Ovis aries: one gene and its partners. The main gene of each other region encodes a partner of the protein of the gene in region 2 in a complex. Links are inferred from orthologs where the notes say so. Each region holds a gene or a part of one and is shown on either strand. Other genes may lie near its edges.

What was found. The genes of interacting proteins can lie anywhere in the genome.
Region 1: the proteins of NTRK2 (region 2) and NTF4 are in contact, whole or in part, in a crystal structure (PDB 1HCF), measured with the Homo sapiens proteins. The link is inferred for Ovis aries from reciprocal best matches to the Homo sapiens genes NTRK2 and NTF4. Residues at the interface, in NP_001018074.1 of Homo sapiens: Phe291, Glu293, Thr296, Ser297, Asp298, His299, Cys302, Pro304, Thr306, His335, Val336, His343, Gly344, Cys345, Asn350, Thr352, His353, Met379, Gly380, Trp381, Pro382, Gly383; in NP_001382418.1 of Homo sapiens: Gly81, Val82, Ser83, Glu84, Thr85, Ala86, Ser89, Arg90, Arg91, Gly92, Glu93, Leu94, Ala95, Asp98, Ala99, Ser101, Gly102, Trp103, Thr105, Tyr135, Phe137.
Region 3: the proteins of NTRK2 (region 2) and FRS2 are in contact, whole or in part, in an NMR structure (PDB 2MFQ), measured with the Homo sapiens proteins. The link is inferred for Ovis aries from reciprocal best matches to the Homo sapiens genes NTRK2 and FRS2. Residues at the interface, in NP_001018074.1 of Homo sapiens: Pro498, Asp499, Val501, Ile503, Gly504, Met505, Thr506, Lys507, Ile508, Pro509, Val510, Ile511, Glu512, Asn513, Pro514, Gln515, Tyr516, Gly518, Ile519; in NP_001036020.1 of Homo sapiens: Val26, Asp27, Asp28, Asp29, Gly30, Tyr59, Leu60, Cys61, Leu62, Arg63, Arg64, Tyr65, Gly66, Tyr67, Asp68, Ser69, Asn70, Leu71, Phe72, Ser73, Gly77, Arg78, Ile86, Ala88, Lys90, Phe98, Gln102, Met105, Gln106, Ser109.

What each region holds. Positions count from the first base shown.
Region 1 is NC_056067.1:55,321,161-55,326,070, forward strand, and holds NTF4 (neurotrophin-4), read right to left. Parts: upstream 2,995-4,910; 5' UTR 2,936-2,994; intron 1,866-2,935; 5' UTR 1,742-1,865; intron 1,147-1,741; 5' UTR 1,135-1,146; coding exon 502-1,134; 3' UTR 199-501; downstream 1-198. UniProt on the Homo sapiens protein: Target-derived survival factor for peripheral sensory sympathetic neurons. May promote ameloblast differentiation and subsequent reduction in proliferation of ameloblasts.
Region 2 is NC_056055.1:34,669,056-34,673,371, forward strand, and holds part of NTRK2 (BDNF/NT-3 growth factors receptor), read right to left. Parts: intron 1,958-4,316; coding exon 1,799-1,957; intron 914-1,798; coding exon 728-913; 3' UTR 1-727. UniProt on the Homo sapiens protein: Receptor tyrosine kinase involved in the development and the maturation of the central and the peripheral nervous systems through regulation of neuron survival, proliferation, migration, differentiation, and synapse formation and plasticity.
Region 3 is NC_056056.1:150,335,291-150,340,202, forward strand, and holds the start of FRS2 (fibroblast growth factor receptor substrate 2), read right to left. Parts: upstream 2,995-4,912; 5' UTR 2,647-2,994; intron 1-2,646. UniProt on the Homo sapiens protein: Adapter protein that links activated FGR and NGF receptors to downstream signaling pathways.

The sequences.
Region 1 (4,910 bases), on a different chromosome or scaffold from region 2:
AATAAGGTTTCTTATTTGAACCCCAGCTCCCAACTAGTTGCCTACTTATTCCAGTTTTTATAATCCCCCCAGTTTTATAATCCCCCCTAAGTATCCCCTCCTTGTCACTCTCTTCAGGATGAGCAAAGTGATGTCCTTTGAGATCACATGGTCAGCAGCTTAGAAGCTGAGGAACTCCAATGGTCAAATCCACCAGAGTTGATCTGACAAGTTGTATTAGAGTTCATAAACAGTAGGCACTCAGGAAATATTGGCTATCATCATCATCATCTTCGTTTTACCCTCAAGTTCATCCAGGAGAACTCCTATTCATCCTTCAAAACCCCATTTGGTTTCATCATCTGTCTTTCCCAGAATGAGCTCTCAAAACCGGAGCATTGTGATTTTGTGTGACCATTTGACAAGTTCCCAGACTGAGGCCTAGAGCAACCAGGCTACTCCTGAGGTCCTTCAGCATCCAGTTCCTTCTTCCTCTACCTGCCCAGTTCCTGGGCCTGGGTCTCAGGCCCGGCCAGTCCGGCTGAGGAGCGTGCAGACACAGGCGGTGTCAATTCGAATCCATCGCCAGCCCACACGGCCCTGGGCATCAGTCGTCAATGCCCGCACATAGGACTGCTTGGCCTTACACTCAGACACCCAGTGCCTCCGGTCCACACCCCGGCAGCCTCCTCCACCCCCACCAGGGCCACCTTCCCCAGCACTGGCAGCCTTGCAGCGGGTTTCAAAGAAGTACTGGCGCAGGGGACTGCCGCCAGCTGCAGGCACCTCGCCCAGCACCTCCACCTCGCGCCCACGCAGGTCCACAGCAGTCCGGCGGTCTGTCACCCAGCCGCTGACTGCATCACACACGGCCAGCTCTCCACGGCGACTGGCTGGTGCTGTCTCGCTCACCCCTCGCCGACTGCGGTTAGCTGGGCTGCTGGCTGGCTCCCCAAAGGCCCCAGACTCCAGCAGAAAGAGCAGAGGGGGCCCCGTGGGGGTACCCCTGGACAGGGCCACCCGGGGGGACAAGAGGTCCCACTCAGGGGCTGGAAATGGGGGCAGGGGTGAGGGTGGGGGGTGGGGCTCCATCGGGACACTGGGGAGGAGGAAAAGCAGGAGGATGGGGAGGGAGCCTGAGGGGTGGGGGAGCATCTCGCTGAACACCTAAGGATAGACAGAGGGAAGCTAGAATTAGGATGATAACTTCGTGGGGGGACACATGGCAACTCCAGGGACATCTGCATGACAGAACCACAGGTTCTAGAAGCTTGGAGGACCCCTATATTTTAGGACTTTGATAATGCCCAACCTCTAGATTAATCATAATTATTCTTCTTTAGTAATAATAGCCAATAAAGGGGGAAATACAGGCTCAGAGAGGTTAGTAACTTGTACCAGGTCACACAGCCAGCAAATGCCAGAGGTGGGACTCCAAACATGTCCCAGCAACTCCACTCTGCCATTTTGCCTCCATAACCCCAAGGAACCCTAAGTCCTGCAGCCTGGATGAGGCTTGAAGTTCCAAAATTTCTGAGAACAGTCATGCCCTGGAATTCCAGGGAGACCCAAGTTCAGCTTAAAACTGCCTGTAAGAAGGTAAGACACTTCCTCCCAGGTGAGGCTTCGGTTTCCCTATCCATGAAATTGGGCCAGGGCTGGGAGATGCTGGTGGGGGCATAGATGCTGAAGTTTCTCTAGAACATTCTGGAAGCCTGTGGGTTCTGGGAAAGGACTGAGAAGCAGTGGGTGGTTACCGGACCTGTCAGCACCTCCTCCACCTCCGAGCTCCGGGGCTGGGGGCCCCCAGGCTCCGGGGGGCCCCTGTTGGGGACACAGGTGGCCCCCTCCTTCGTGACATCTCAGGAGAGGGAGGGGGCAACCACCTAGGGGAAGAAGGGAACAGGCAGGTTAGAGAGGCAGGTGGGGGAGGGGGCCTGAACCCCTGAACACTCCGCTTCTCAGTGTTCCTCTGAAAGTGTAGGGGACCGAGAGTCAAGGCTGCAGCCCCTCCCAGAGGCCCCTGCTCTGCCCAGGTGATAGCTCCTGGATGGAAAGCAGATGGGGGGAGGAGAGGGGAGGGGAGGGGAGGGGAGAGGCTGAGGATGAAGGAGGCTGGAAAAGATTACATCCTCCTCGGCCCATTCATCTCACAGATGGGGCGGGGGCGGGGCTGGCCTGGACACCCAGGTCCCCGAGGGCCCACACTTAAGAAGCCCTGGGTCCCCCTGGCTGCTTCCTGGAATGTTCTCCGCTCACAGGACAGGCCAGGGCCCGTCCAAGACTTCTACTGCACATACCTGGAGTGGCTGCCTGCCCTGGCTGGGAGATAGGGAAACGAGAAGGGGAAAGTGTGAAGAGGAGTACATGCTGACCCAACCAGAGCCGGGAGCGTGAGTTCCCAGCTGCTTCCTCCCTCAGACCAGGAGTCCTGGTTCCCAGGTGCCTTCTCCGTCAGACCTGGAGTCGTGGGGGCCGGCGGCCCACCTCCCCCACCCCATCCTTTGCAGGAGTCCAGGCTCCTGCTCCCTCCTCGCTCAGACCCCAAAGCCCCGCTCCCCAGCTCTCTCCTCCTTCAGGAACCCAGGTCACCAGCTCCGGCCCGCAGATGCAGGAGTCAGGCGCCCCAAACCCCTCCTCCCTCCGACCCAGAAGTCCGGACTCCCAGTGCCGTCCTCCTTCAGACCCGAGAGTTCTGGGGTCCAAGCCCATCCTTCCCAGGCACTCAGAAGCGCGGGCTCCCCGGCCCCTCCTCTCCCGGGAAGTTTAAGCCTGGGGGTCGGGACTCCTGAGACCGCTCCGGGGGTCGCGGACTGTCCGTCTCAGACGCTTCCCTCCTGCCTCAGTTTCCTCCGCCAAGCCCCGCCCCTGCCGGCCCCGCCCCCGTCCCTCCCTACCCGGGGGCCGGGCGACCCGGACGCCGGAATCCCGGGGGAGGAGGCGCGGAGGCGCTTACCTGGGGCGCCCTCCTCGGCTCCCCCGGCCGTCTCCGGCGCGGCGGCGGCTCCTCCTCCTGCTCGCTGGCTGTAGGGACGCCCGCTCGCCCGCCGGCTCCTCGCTGCACACGCCCCGGAGGGCCCGGGTCGGGGGCGGGGGCGGGGCGGCGCCCGACGGCGGAGGAGGGGCCGGGGGATCCCGCCTTCCACACGCGTGCCGAGACCTCGGAAGCCCGGCCTGGCTCGCTCAGCCCGCCTCAGTCCCAGGAGGCCAGGCGCCAGCCCCCACCTCCCTCCCTTCAAACTCGGGAGTCCGGGTCCGCAGCCCCCTCCTCCCCGCGGACACGGGAGTCCGGACCCCCAGCCCCTCCTCCCGCAGACGCCGGGAGTTTGGGCCCCCAAGCTTCCTCCTCCTTAGGACTCCCCCCAACCCAGTCCTTCTTCCTCAGCTCCAGCCCCCTCCCCCCGCAGACCCAGGAGTCCAGACCCCAAGCCCCCTCCTCCTTCAGACCCAGGAGTCCAGACCCCAAGCCCCCTCCTCCGCAGACCCAGGAGTCTGGGCCTGAGATTCCTTTGCGTTCTCTAGCCAGTTTAGTGTCAATCCCCGGGCAGATTCCCACCCTCTGCTCTCATCTCCGAGTCTCCCAGGAGCTCCAGGCCAGACATTAACCAGCTGGGCTCGCGGAGTGATAAGGCCCCGAGGCCCCGGGGAGACGGTAGATGCGGGGGTCTCTCCCACATAAGTCCTCTCTGCTGGAATTTCCTGGGTGGGGACTGGGGAGAGGGTCTTGTCCTGAGTTTCAGATAAGAGAAATTCAAGGTATTCTAGGACTCGGAGACAAAGATATGGTTTGGGAACAGAATGACCTGCCTGGAGAAAGTGAATAGTGACAGATGAAGGGAGATGGGGAGAAGAAAAGGGAACAGACTCCTAGAGAAAGAGGGAGATACCCACCCAGAGAGAAGGCAGAGACCAGGAGAGGGGACAGACACATTGAGGAAGGGGAGAGAAGCCCAGAGGAAGAGAGACCTCAAGACAGATGGAGACTCAGACAGGAGCTGAGAGTCCCCGGGACAGACTTAACTGCTTCACCCCTCCCCTGGAGCTATTTTCAGAAGGAAAACTGACACTCGCCTTGGTGGGTGGGGTGGGCAGGGGTCATCCCATACCCCTCCGTCAGCCTAAATATAGCATGGCAAGGTGGCAGGAAGGGTGTCCCCGGATTAGGGTGTTCCCCTCTCTGCTCCCCATCCCGGGCCAAGGTGGCTGCGGTTGTTTATTGGGATGGGGGAGGGGCCCTGCCCACAGAAGCGTCCACTGGAGTCACTTCCCAGACCTCTCCAGGCTTCCCCCATCCCTAAGTATCCTACCTGCCCCACCCCCTACCAGAAGAAGTCTATGGAACTTCCATTCTCCTATGGGGTAGTAGGGGTGAGATAGAGACTTTCCGGGTCTCTATCTCCCTCTGTCTGGGTCCCTGTCCCATCTGTGTCCCCTGTCCCTCTCCTCTGGATCTCTGCCCCCTTCTCTGGGTCTTTGCCCCCTCTCCTTGTCTCTTACCCTCTCCCAGGGCGCTGCCCTCTTCTCTCCTCCTCTCCCTTCTCCCCTTGGGTGTCTCTGTCCACTGTTCATATGTCTTGTCCTCTTTGGGTCCCTGTGCTGGGCTCTGTGCCTGCCTCCCAGACTCTGTCTTGTGTGTGTCACTGCGATGTGTGTGTGTGTGTGTGTGGGGGGGGGGTTGTGTCTGTCTCCATTTCTGTCTCCAAACGTGCCTTTCCCTCCCTTTCAGAGAGAAGTGTTAAATTATTTAAAGGTTACATTATTTTCGACCTTTATCAAACGCTTCCCACAATCTGTACCTTCTTCTATCTCTCTGTGTAAAAAGGTGGTTGGAGTAAATCGGGGGTTTCCAAACTGAATTTGTTAGCTGCAGACCGCGTTACCAAGAGAGATTCCATAAAGGGTAGGTTCCCCTCAGACCAGTTCAAACACTC
Region 2 (4,316 bases):
TTTCTTAAGTTGAAACTGACGCCAGTAGATTCCAATGGTTGTCTTTGTTCTTCCCATACTGTGGTTTATAATAAATCTTCTTTCTCTCTGGTCTTAATCTCCCATAGATAAAGGCTTCCCAAATTGAACACAAGTTTTCCTTTTTCATACACAGGCTTAAGCCATCCCAAAACAATAAGAACAGTAATAATAATAAATAAATAGAAGTGAATCCATAGAAACTCTCGGTGTCTGTACAGCAAAAGTGACAAAGTTTAAGTCAAATATTTGTTTTCCCTTTTTTTCATCCACATCAAAGGCAGGAATACAACAAGGCATTGTTAGTTGTGGTGGGCAAACTGGAGTGTCTGCTGATATAACAAATTAGGTTTGTTAAGGCCTTTGTCTATGCAGAGTTAATAGTAATGCAGAAGCCAGATTGATTAAAAAAGAAAAGGTAGGGGTTGTAAAGCAAGGAAGACAAAAAATAAAGGGGGGGTGGAAACTAGAGAATAAATGAAGGGAGATGGAAAGAGAGAAAGAGAATGCTAAAAAGAAGTCCATACTGTGTCTACAGGTGGAGAAGTACACGTCGCTTCCCTCGGAAAGCTTCTCAGTGTCTTTGTTGTTAATACTGTCAGAGCAAAGAACAGCGGATTGATGGCATCGAGCGGCAGTTAAAAGACGTTCATCCTCTCGGCCCAACTGAGGAAGTGCTTTCAGAAGGACTGGTCTGGGGGAATGGGCCCTACCCTAGAATATCCAGGTAGACTGGAGATGCCTTGGCCAAGTTCTGAAGGAGGGTGTGGATGCCCTTGATGTTCTTCCTCATATGGGGCTCTCGCTGCCAGCACCCCAGCATCAGCTCGTAGACTTCCTGGGGGCATGTTCGAGGTCGCTGCAGGACTCGGCCCTGAGTGATGCATTCTATCACCTAGATGGAATGGAGCACAGAGACAGGATCAGACTAGAGGAAAATCAATGTGGATGCAATAATGTCAGTACAGAGAGAGGGTTGCTTTAAAGAAACCCACTCAGTGTTTTTCTTTCTTTCTTTCTCTTTTTTCAGAAGGAAGAAAGCAATTGTTCTAGGTTTGCATATCATGGTTAATTTGATGGGTTCATATCCATTTTTCAAGTCACACTGATTTCATCAAAGTGGCGGAGAAATAATTTATCTAGATGGAATCTTCCTAAACCACACCCTGGAATTCCAATGGGTTTCAGTTGTACTGGCCTGAGATGGAACCAGGGTCACTTTTGTGCCAGGGAATCATAGGGTACAGAAATGAGCAGTCATTTTGGATCATGGAATTGGAAAAAAGACAGACTTGGACCTGGAGAAGTGAGGTGCCTGATCAAGAAGTAATGTTTAAATATAGACATAATTGCAAAAGGATTAGAAAAGAAAAACAAAATGCCTGAGTTTTTCACTAGAAGTAATGTACCAGTGAAATGTGCAAAAAAGGAGAGAAGCTTGAAAGCTTCTTGGAATAATACCAAAAGAGCTAGCTGGACTCTCAGGGTGCCAAAATGCCACATCTGCTATCAATTTCCTAGATGAACAGCACGAAATGACTCCTGGATCCCCGCACCAGAGAATCACAGGCACATCAGCAAATGCTCTGCTTTTCTCTTTCCAGAACTCTTACGTTTGGAGAATGACCATGATACTTAGGTACATGGCAGGCCATGGGGAGGTGCTGCTCCCAACAAAGCCACAGGGACGCCACAGGAGAGCATTTCCTGGCTTCCAGCCCAGGGGTATCTCTCAGTGTCAGCCCTCCAGGCATCCTGATGCTGCTCACCACACACGCACCTCGTTGTTCGACAGCTGGTACCAGGGCTGTTTCCCGTACGTGAAGATCTCCCACAACACGACCCCCAGGCTCCAGACGTCACTTTCGGTGGTGAACTTCCTATACATGATGCTCTCTGGGGGCATCCAGCGAATGGGCAGCATTGTGTGGCCACCGACCTGGCAGAAAAGGGGTAAGCAGGACGGCATCAGTCACCTGGAAACCAAGTTCCCATCATCAGGGGAAAAAGTGTGGAAGGGAGACGGGGTGCATTTTTTCCCTTTATTTGTATTTATTAATTTTAACTGTTTATAAGGCATAAGGGAAATGCAATTTGTTTATCATCTCAAGCAACAGAGACAGAGGGCAAAGTGTGGTCAAAGGATTTTTTCTCATACTGTTTGCAATTCTCTTTCCCAAAACTATATAGGAGCAGAGATGGTGATTGGGTGGATAGTCATGTATAAAACACAAACGCACATACTTTCTGGTATGAGAATGACTTGATTGTCTACCTAACAAGATAACTTTGGCCCAGATAATGAGGGTTCAGGATCCAAAATGACCCACCAAAGGACTCTGTTTCCTTAGCAAAGCCACAGCTTCCTTATGCTTCCTTAAACTGTCAGGAGATCACACAGAGCTGTCTTGAACATCCTTGTCACAACCCAGCAATGGTCAGGGCAGAAATGACTATTCCCATTTTACAGATGAGGCAACTGAGGTTCAAGTTGCTATGGACACAAAGAAATCAGGTCTTTGAGCTCAAGACTTTACTATAGCACTTCAACTGAAGTGATTTACAAAAGTAAATTGGTAAGTATGTAATAGGGAAGAACATTTTGTATTCTATTACAAGTTAATCACTAAAGGGATGCTGAGTATAAGCTTAAATTATACGTAATGCCCCATCTCTGGGAATCCTGCTCCACAGCTATTAGCATTCAGCTAAAATATGTTTGTTTAATTCACAGGAAACATCCTGACCAGGCCCTTCCTCCACTGCTGGGAGGGAGAATTTAACACACCCCTCTAGAGGCAGATGGGAACCAGGAAATGCTTGACTTATCCCTTCCCCTCTTAGTATAAAAAAGTCTGAATTCTAACACAGGCAAGATGGGTCTTTGGGGCATGAGCCTGCCATCTTCTTGGTCTGCTGTCCTTCTGAATAAAGCAGTTATTCCTTGCCCCAGCGACTCATATCTCGATTATCGGCCTGCAGTGCAGTGAGGAGTGCAAGCTTAAACTCAAAGACAAGTATGGGTTTTGAAAAGCCCGTTTTAGTAAAAACGCCACGGCTGAGGCATTACACAGCAACAGCATTAGCACAGGTGAAGAAAACTTTGACCAAAGAGATTTATCATTTCCTACTTCCTGGAGAAAAAGTAAGAATTCCATGTATAGGTTTGTAGCCCATCAAGGCTTTCTGATTTTTGAATTGAGATCAGATTTATGCACCATAGCCCTGTGGGTGGCAGGTCCCACTTTTCATGCTGGTGAACCCCAGCACTACCTGCCCAAATGCCAAGCTGACATTGGGGCAGTGGTTGAGTTCATAGGACTTCAGGAATTAGACTTCCCTGACAACTGCCAGCCCCTGAGTTCCGAGACCAATGCCACATAGAGTTTCTGCCCAGTTACAATTCTCAGTGTCCCTTGGACAGCAAGGAGATCAAACCAGTCAATCCTAAAGGAAATCAACCCTGAATATTCATTGGAAGGACTGATGCTGAAGCTGAAGCTCCAATACTTTGGCCACCTGATGTGAAGAGTCGACTCGCTGGAAAAGATCCTGATGTTGGGAAAGACTGAAGGTGGAAGGAGAAGGGGACAGCAGAGGATGAGATGGTTGGGTGGCATGACTTTGAGCAAATTCCAGGAGATAGTAAAGGACAGGGAGGCTTGAAGTGCTGCAGTCCATGGGGTCAAAAAGAGTCTGTCATGACCAAGCAACAACAACAATTCTCATTTCTGACGCATTAAGGGAAGAAAATGGACTAAAAGTGCCTAAAAAAATGCTGCTCCACTCTGAAGTCCAAGGAGCGGAGAGTGTCAGAGATTTCTAATTTGTTTGGTAATTTTAAATGATGCTCTTATTAGCCAAAAAGCACACATGTGAAAAAAATCACACATTCTCTGTACAAAGAGTCTGACAAGTGGAGACATAACTTGCTGGCACAGGATTAAGGTGCCCCTATAGTTTTACTCTTCAGGATTTCAATGCATCAAAAGTTCAGGTGCTAAGTGTGGGCTTGTTGCCTAGCATGCTTGGGGCTGGTGCATGGGGATGACCCAGAAAGATGTTATGGGGAGGGAGGTGGGAGGGGGGTTCATGTTTGGGAATGCATGTAAGAATTAAAGATTTTAAAATTTAAAAAATAAAAAACTAAAAAAAAAAAATCAAACCAGGTAAAAATTAAAAAAAAAAAAAAAGTTAAACACTTTCTGTATGATCCAGCTATTCCACACCTAAATATTAACTGACAAGAAATAAAAGCAGACAAAGACTTGTAAAAAAAAAAAAAAAAAACATCAGAT
Region 3 (4,912 bases), on a different chromosome or scaffold from region 2:
GTTGTGTTTACTTCTGGGATTGGCAGTTACTATATGGCCATCAGAGTCTATATAGAAATAGTAGGCTGAGAGATGGTTCATTCAAAATAATGTTTTCTGTAATAATGTTTTGATTCCAATCTTCCTATGCCTCTTGCTCATCATTTGCCCCAATAAATACACTAGCAGTTTCTTATAGCTGAGACTATGGCTTATCAATTTGGCTGCAAAGTATAGTAGTTAAGGGCATGAACTCTGAAACCAGTCTGTGTGGGTCAAGTCCTAGCATTAGTAGCAGCCGTATGGGCCTAGGAAACTTATTTAACCTCTTTGTGCTTTTATTTTCTGGACTATAAAATAGTAATACAGCCTGAAATTGTTGTAAGGATAAAATCTGTTGAAATATGTAAATCACTTAGTACAATATCAGATACATAGGAAGTATAATTGACATACATATATGTGTGTGTGTAATACACATAAAATATATCTATAAATATATGTATAATATAAATATATATTCTTAAATGTGTATATGTACATATACATGTATGTATAATAATTTATAATTTAGAAGCACTTTGTGACTTGGCAAGGTGACAGAAATAATCCTAGATTGTCTTTCAGTGTAACTTTTGCATTGGAGTCAAGAATGAACCAGCTGTTTGGTAAAAAGACTCTAACAAAACAATAAGGAGAAAAATCAGTGACTCTGTGTGTATACTTCAAGAACACATTTTTGCCTTCTAGCAGGACTGGGCCAATACCATGAAACATGCTCTCCAGCAGACATTCTGAAAGGGAGACCTCAGGGAACTGGGGATTTTATGTGACATCACCAAGGAGTGAAGGAGGAGAAATAGTGGCAAAATTGGGGACAAATTTTTAATTTGCACTCCCATCCCCCAAAATGAATATTAAATCTTCGTGATCATCATATTCATTCTTGAGTACTGTAGGCTTAGTCTTTATTGCCATCCATATGTTGAAGCCCTAGGCTCCCATGTGATTATACTTGGAGATAGGGCTTTTAGGAGATAATTAAGGTTAAATGAGGTCATAGGTTGGGGTCCTAATCTAACAGAATTGGTGGTCTTATAAGAAGAGGGCTTCCCAGGTGGCTCAGTGGTAAAGAATCCACCTGCCAATGCAGGAAACGTTCCATCTCTGGGTTGGGAAGATTCTCCAGGGAAGATCCCCTGGAGAAGGAAATGACAACCCACTCCAGTATTCTTGTCTGAGAAATGCCATGGACAGAGGAGCCTAGTGGGGTCACATGGGGTTCATGGGGTCACAAAGAGTCAGACACGACTTAGTAACTAAAAAACAGCAGCATAATGAGAGGGATAGAGGGGCTTCCCTGCTGGCTCAGTGGTAAAGAATCTGCCTGCCAATGCAGGGGACACAGGTTTGATCCCTGATAGGGGAGAATCCTACATGCCACAGAGCAGCTAAGGGTGTGCACAGCGACTAAGCCTTGCTCTAGAGCCTTTGCTCTGCAACAAGAGAGGCCACCTCAGTGAGAATCCCGGGCACCACAACTAGGGGGTAGCCCTCACTTACCACAACTAGAAAAAAGCCTGTGCAGCAACGAAGACCCAGCACAGCCAAAGATAAATAAATAAAATTTTAAAAAGAAAAAAAGAAGGATAGAACTCTCTCTCTCTTTCTGTGTGCACCCACCAAAGAAAGTCTTTGTGAGAACAGAGCAAAGGAGGTGGTCATGTGCAAGCCAGGAAGAGGGCCCTCATTAGGAATTTAATGGGTCCACACCTTGATCTTGGCTTTCCCAGCCTCCAGAATTGTGAGAGATAAATTTTTGATGTTGAGATCATAGTCTATAGCTTTTTGTCATGGCAGCCTGAGCAGACTAAGACAGGTTGAAACAGGAAGCATGCCCGAATGGTCTCTGATGATGGAGGTTTAGAGCTGGGACTCATAGAGCAGCATGAGGAGCCCCCTGTCACCGGGGCAGCCATTCCTGGTCACAGAGCTTCCCAGACAGGGATGATCTATAGGCTCATGGAGAAATAAAACAAAGGCTCAGCATGGATTGGATTGTTGCCTACTGTTCATTTAGTATTTACGTTTCCTGGTTGAGTCCATTTGTCACTGTCCAATACACAGTGACACCAAGCTCTTTTTGGCCTCCTTCTGGCTAGCCCATTCCCATGGGACTTTGGCTCCAACCAAGTGTAGCCGGAGTAGTAGGGTTTGTTTCACCTGGCAAGAAATAGAACAGCTTTATGCAGAACAAACTGCAAATGGCCTATTTCTCAGAAAGGGGCTGTGGGCTTAAAAGGCACTTACGAGATTCAAGGGTTTCTTCTTAGTGTAGAGCCTGGACCTTTCTATAACAGAGCTTGAACATCCCATCCTATAATACTTGTACCAGTTTTCTGGGACTGCTGTAAAAAGCAGCATAAACTGAGTGGCTTTAAACCAACATGAATTTATTCTCGACATGAATCAGCCATAGGTATACATATGTCCCCTCCCTCTTGAACTTCCCTCCCATCTCCCTCCCCATCCCACCCCTCTAGGTTGATACAGACCCCTGTTTGAGTTCCCTCATGTCGAGGTTTGACAGAGAACAACAGAATTCTGTAAAGCAATTATCCTTCAATTAAAAAACAAATAAATTAGAAAAAACATTTATTCTCTCACCGTTCTGGAGGCCAGAAGTCTGAAATCAAGGTATCAGCAGGACTATACTCCCTTTGAAGGATCTCAGGAAGAATTTCTGTTTCTTCAAACTTTTGGTGATCTCAGGCATTCCTTGGCCTGTGGCAGCGTAACTCTAGCCTCTGCCCGCCGTCATTTCAACATGGATTTCTCTGTGTATATTTCTTGTGTCCTATTGTATTCTCATGAAAACCCCAGTCACCACTATTATCTAGCCCAAAAACCTCATCTTAATTAATTATATCTTCAAAGATCCTATTTCCGTATAAGGACACGTTCTGAAGTTCTGGGTAGGTATGATGTTTTTTGGAGGGGGAAGCTATTAAATCCACTGTGTTGCTTTAGCTAAGATTCTTTAGTTGCAAATTACAGAAAAATGCTTGAGCCATAATATGTTAAAAAAAAAAAAGGATTTTATCTGTAGGACACAGGAGTGTTTTACAGAAGCAATAAAATAGTCAGGCCTCAGCAGGAAGATCCCAGAGCTGTGCAGCTATCAGAAGTATTAACCTGTGCCTTCTCATCACAGTTTCTCCCTTCCTATCAGCCTTATTCTCTCTCTAGACAAGAGAAAGACTCTCTACTTCTCCATACTCTCAGCAGGCAGCCTATGGCCAACCTAGTACTCCAGAGTTGATATTTCTGTTCAGATGACCATTTCTAATTGGATAATCTTGGTCCCAATTCTAAATTCTCAGAAGAGAGAATCTAATGGGTCCATCTAGGATTCGGTGTTCAATCCTGATCCAATCAGTTGTAGGTAGTGGGTGGAATGATGCGACAAGTCCAACATGAGGAGTGGAATCATCCTGCTGGATGGTTGGGTGATGCTTTCGAACTGTGGTGCTGGAGAAGACTCTCGAGAGTCCCTTGGACAGCAAGGAAAGCAAACCAGTCAATCGTAATGGAAATCAGTCCTGAATATTCATTGGAAGGACTGAGGCTGAACTGAAGCTCCAATACTTTGGCCACCTGATGTGAAGAGCCGACTCATTGGAAAAGACCCTGAAATGCTGGGAAAGATTGAGGGCAGGAGAAGAAGGGGGCAAGAGAGGGCGAGATAGTTGGATGGCACCATCGACTGAATGGACATGAGTTTGAGCAAACTCCAAGAGATAGTGAAGGACAGGGAAGTCTGGCATGTTGCAGTCCATGGGGTTACAAAGAGTTGGATGTGACTGAGTGATTGAACAATGACAAAGAGAAAGAAACGTCTTTGTGAGCTGGTAGAAAGCACAGAAAAAGTCTGTACTTATCTTATGCTTCATAGCATTTAACAGCATACAAAGTGTTTTCATGTATACTCAAATCCGATTTGTGCAAGTTCATCTGAAATAGGCATAACTGGCATTCTGCCCACTTTACAGATGTAGAAGCTGACACAGACAGATGAGATGACTAGAGCATAGAGATGGTCAGTGTCAAAGACCAGACACAACATTATGTTGTCTGACTCCTGGCCTGACTCTTCATCTCACCACACAAGACAAATATGTAACTGACTTTGTAGTTTTTATTGCAACCAAATACCACTTATGCATAGTTATTATCCAAGTTTACAAATGTAGTTTCAAAAGTAAAAATTTAATAGTCTGATGTTCACAGTCATTCTACCCTTGCTTTGTTCATCCAAAGTTTTCCCGACTTCTCATTTTCCTTCTTCTTTTTCCAGTCCACAGTCTCTTCACAATTCTAACCCCCTCCACATTATTATTCTCTGAAAGGTTTCACTAGGATTTATATACTAAAAGAAAAATGGAAATCATCTTTCTTTTAGCATTTGAACTCAAATCCCTCCTTTGCATTTTAGAATTTCCTTCTTACTGGCATCCAATCAATTCACAGTGTTTGGGGGAAATGCGGCTGTTATGGGGTTACACCTTTGAAATCCTTTTATTTACCTGATACGTTCTCTGAGGCTTGCTTTCCTCAATCACTGGCTCAGGCTCCCTCTTCTCATTTTCTCACTCATTGGATTCCCCAATCTGACAGCCTCTTAGTGAATGGTTTTGCCTACTGATCACTCTTAATTACCTTGTTTAATTCCCTTGAATTTTCTATTCCTGTTTTATATTCACCTTCTTTTCATTATCTCAGGGAAAAAAATCCTTTCTGCTCTCCTTAGAGGTAAGAGTTTTCTCTCTTAAAGCTTCCTAAGGCCATTAACCTCACTGAAGTTCTTCTTTCTAACAAGTAAACATTTTTTTCCCCCCAACAACTTTCTTTTCTTTAGTTTTCTTTTTTAGCT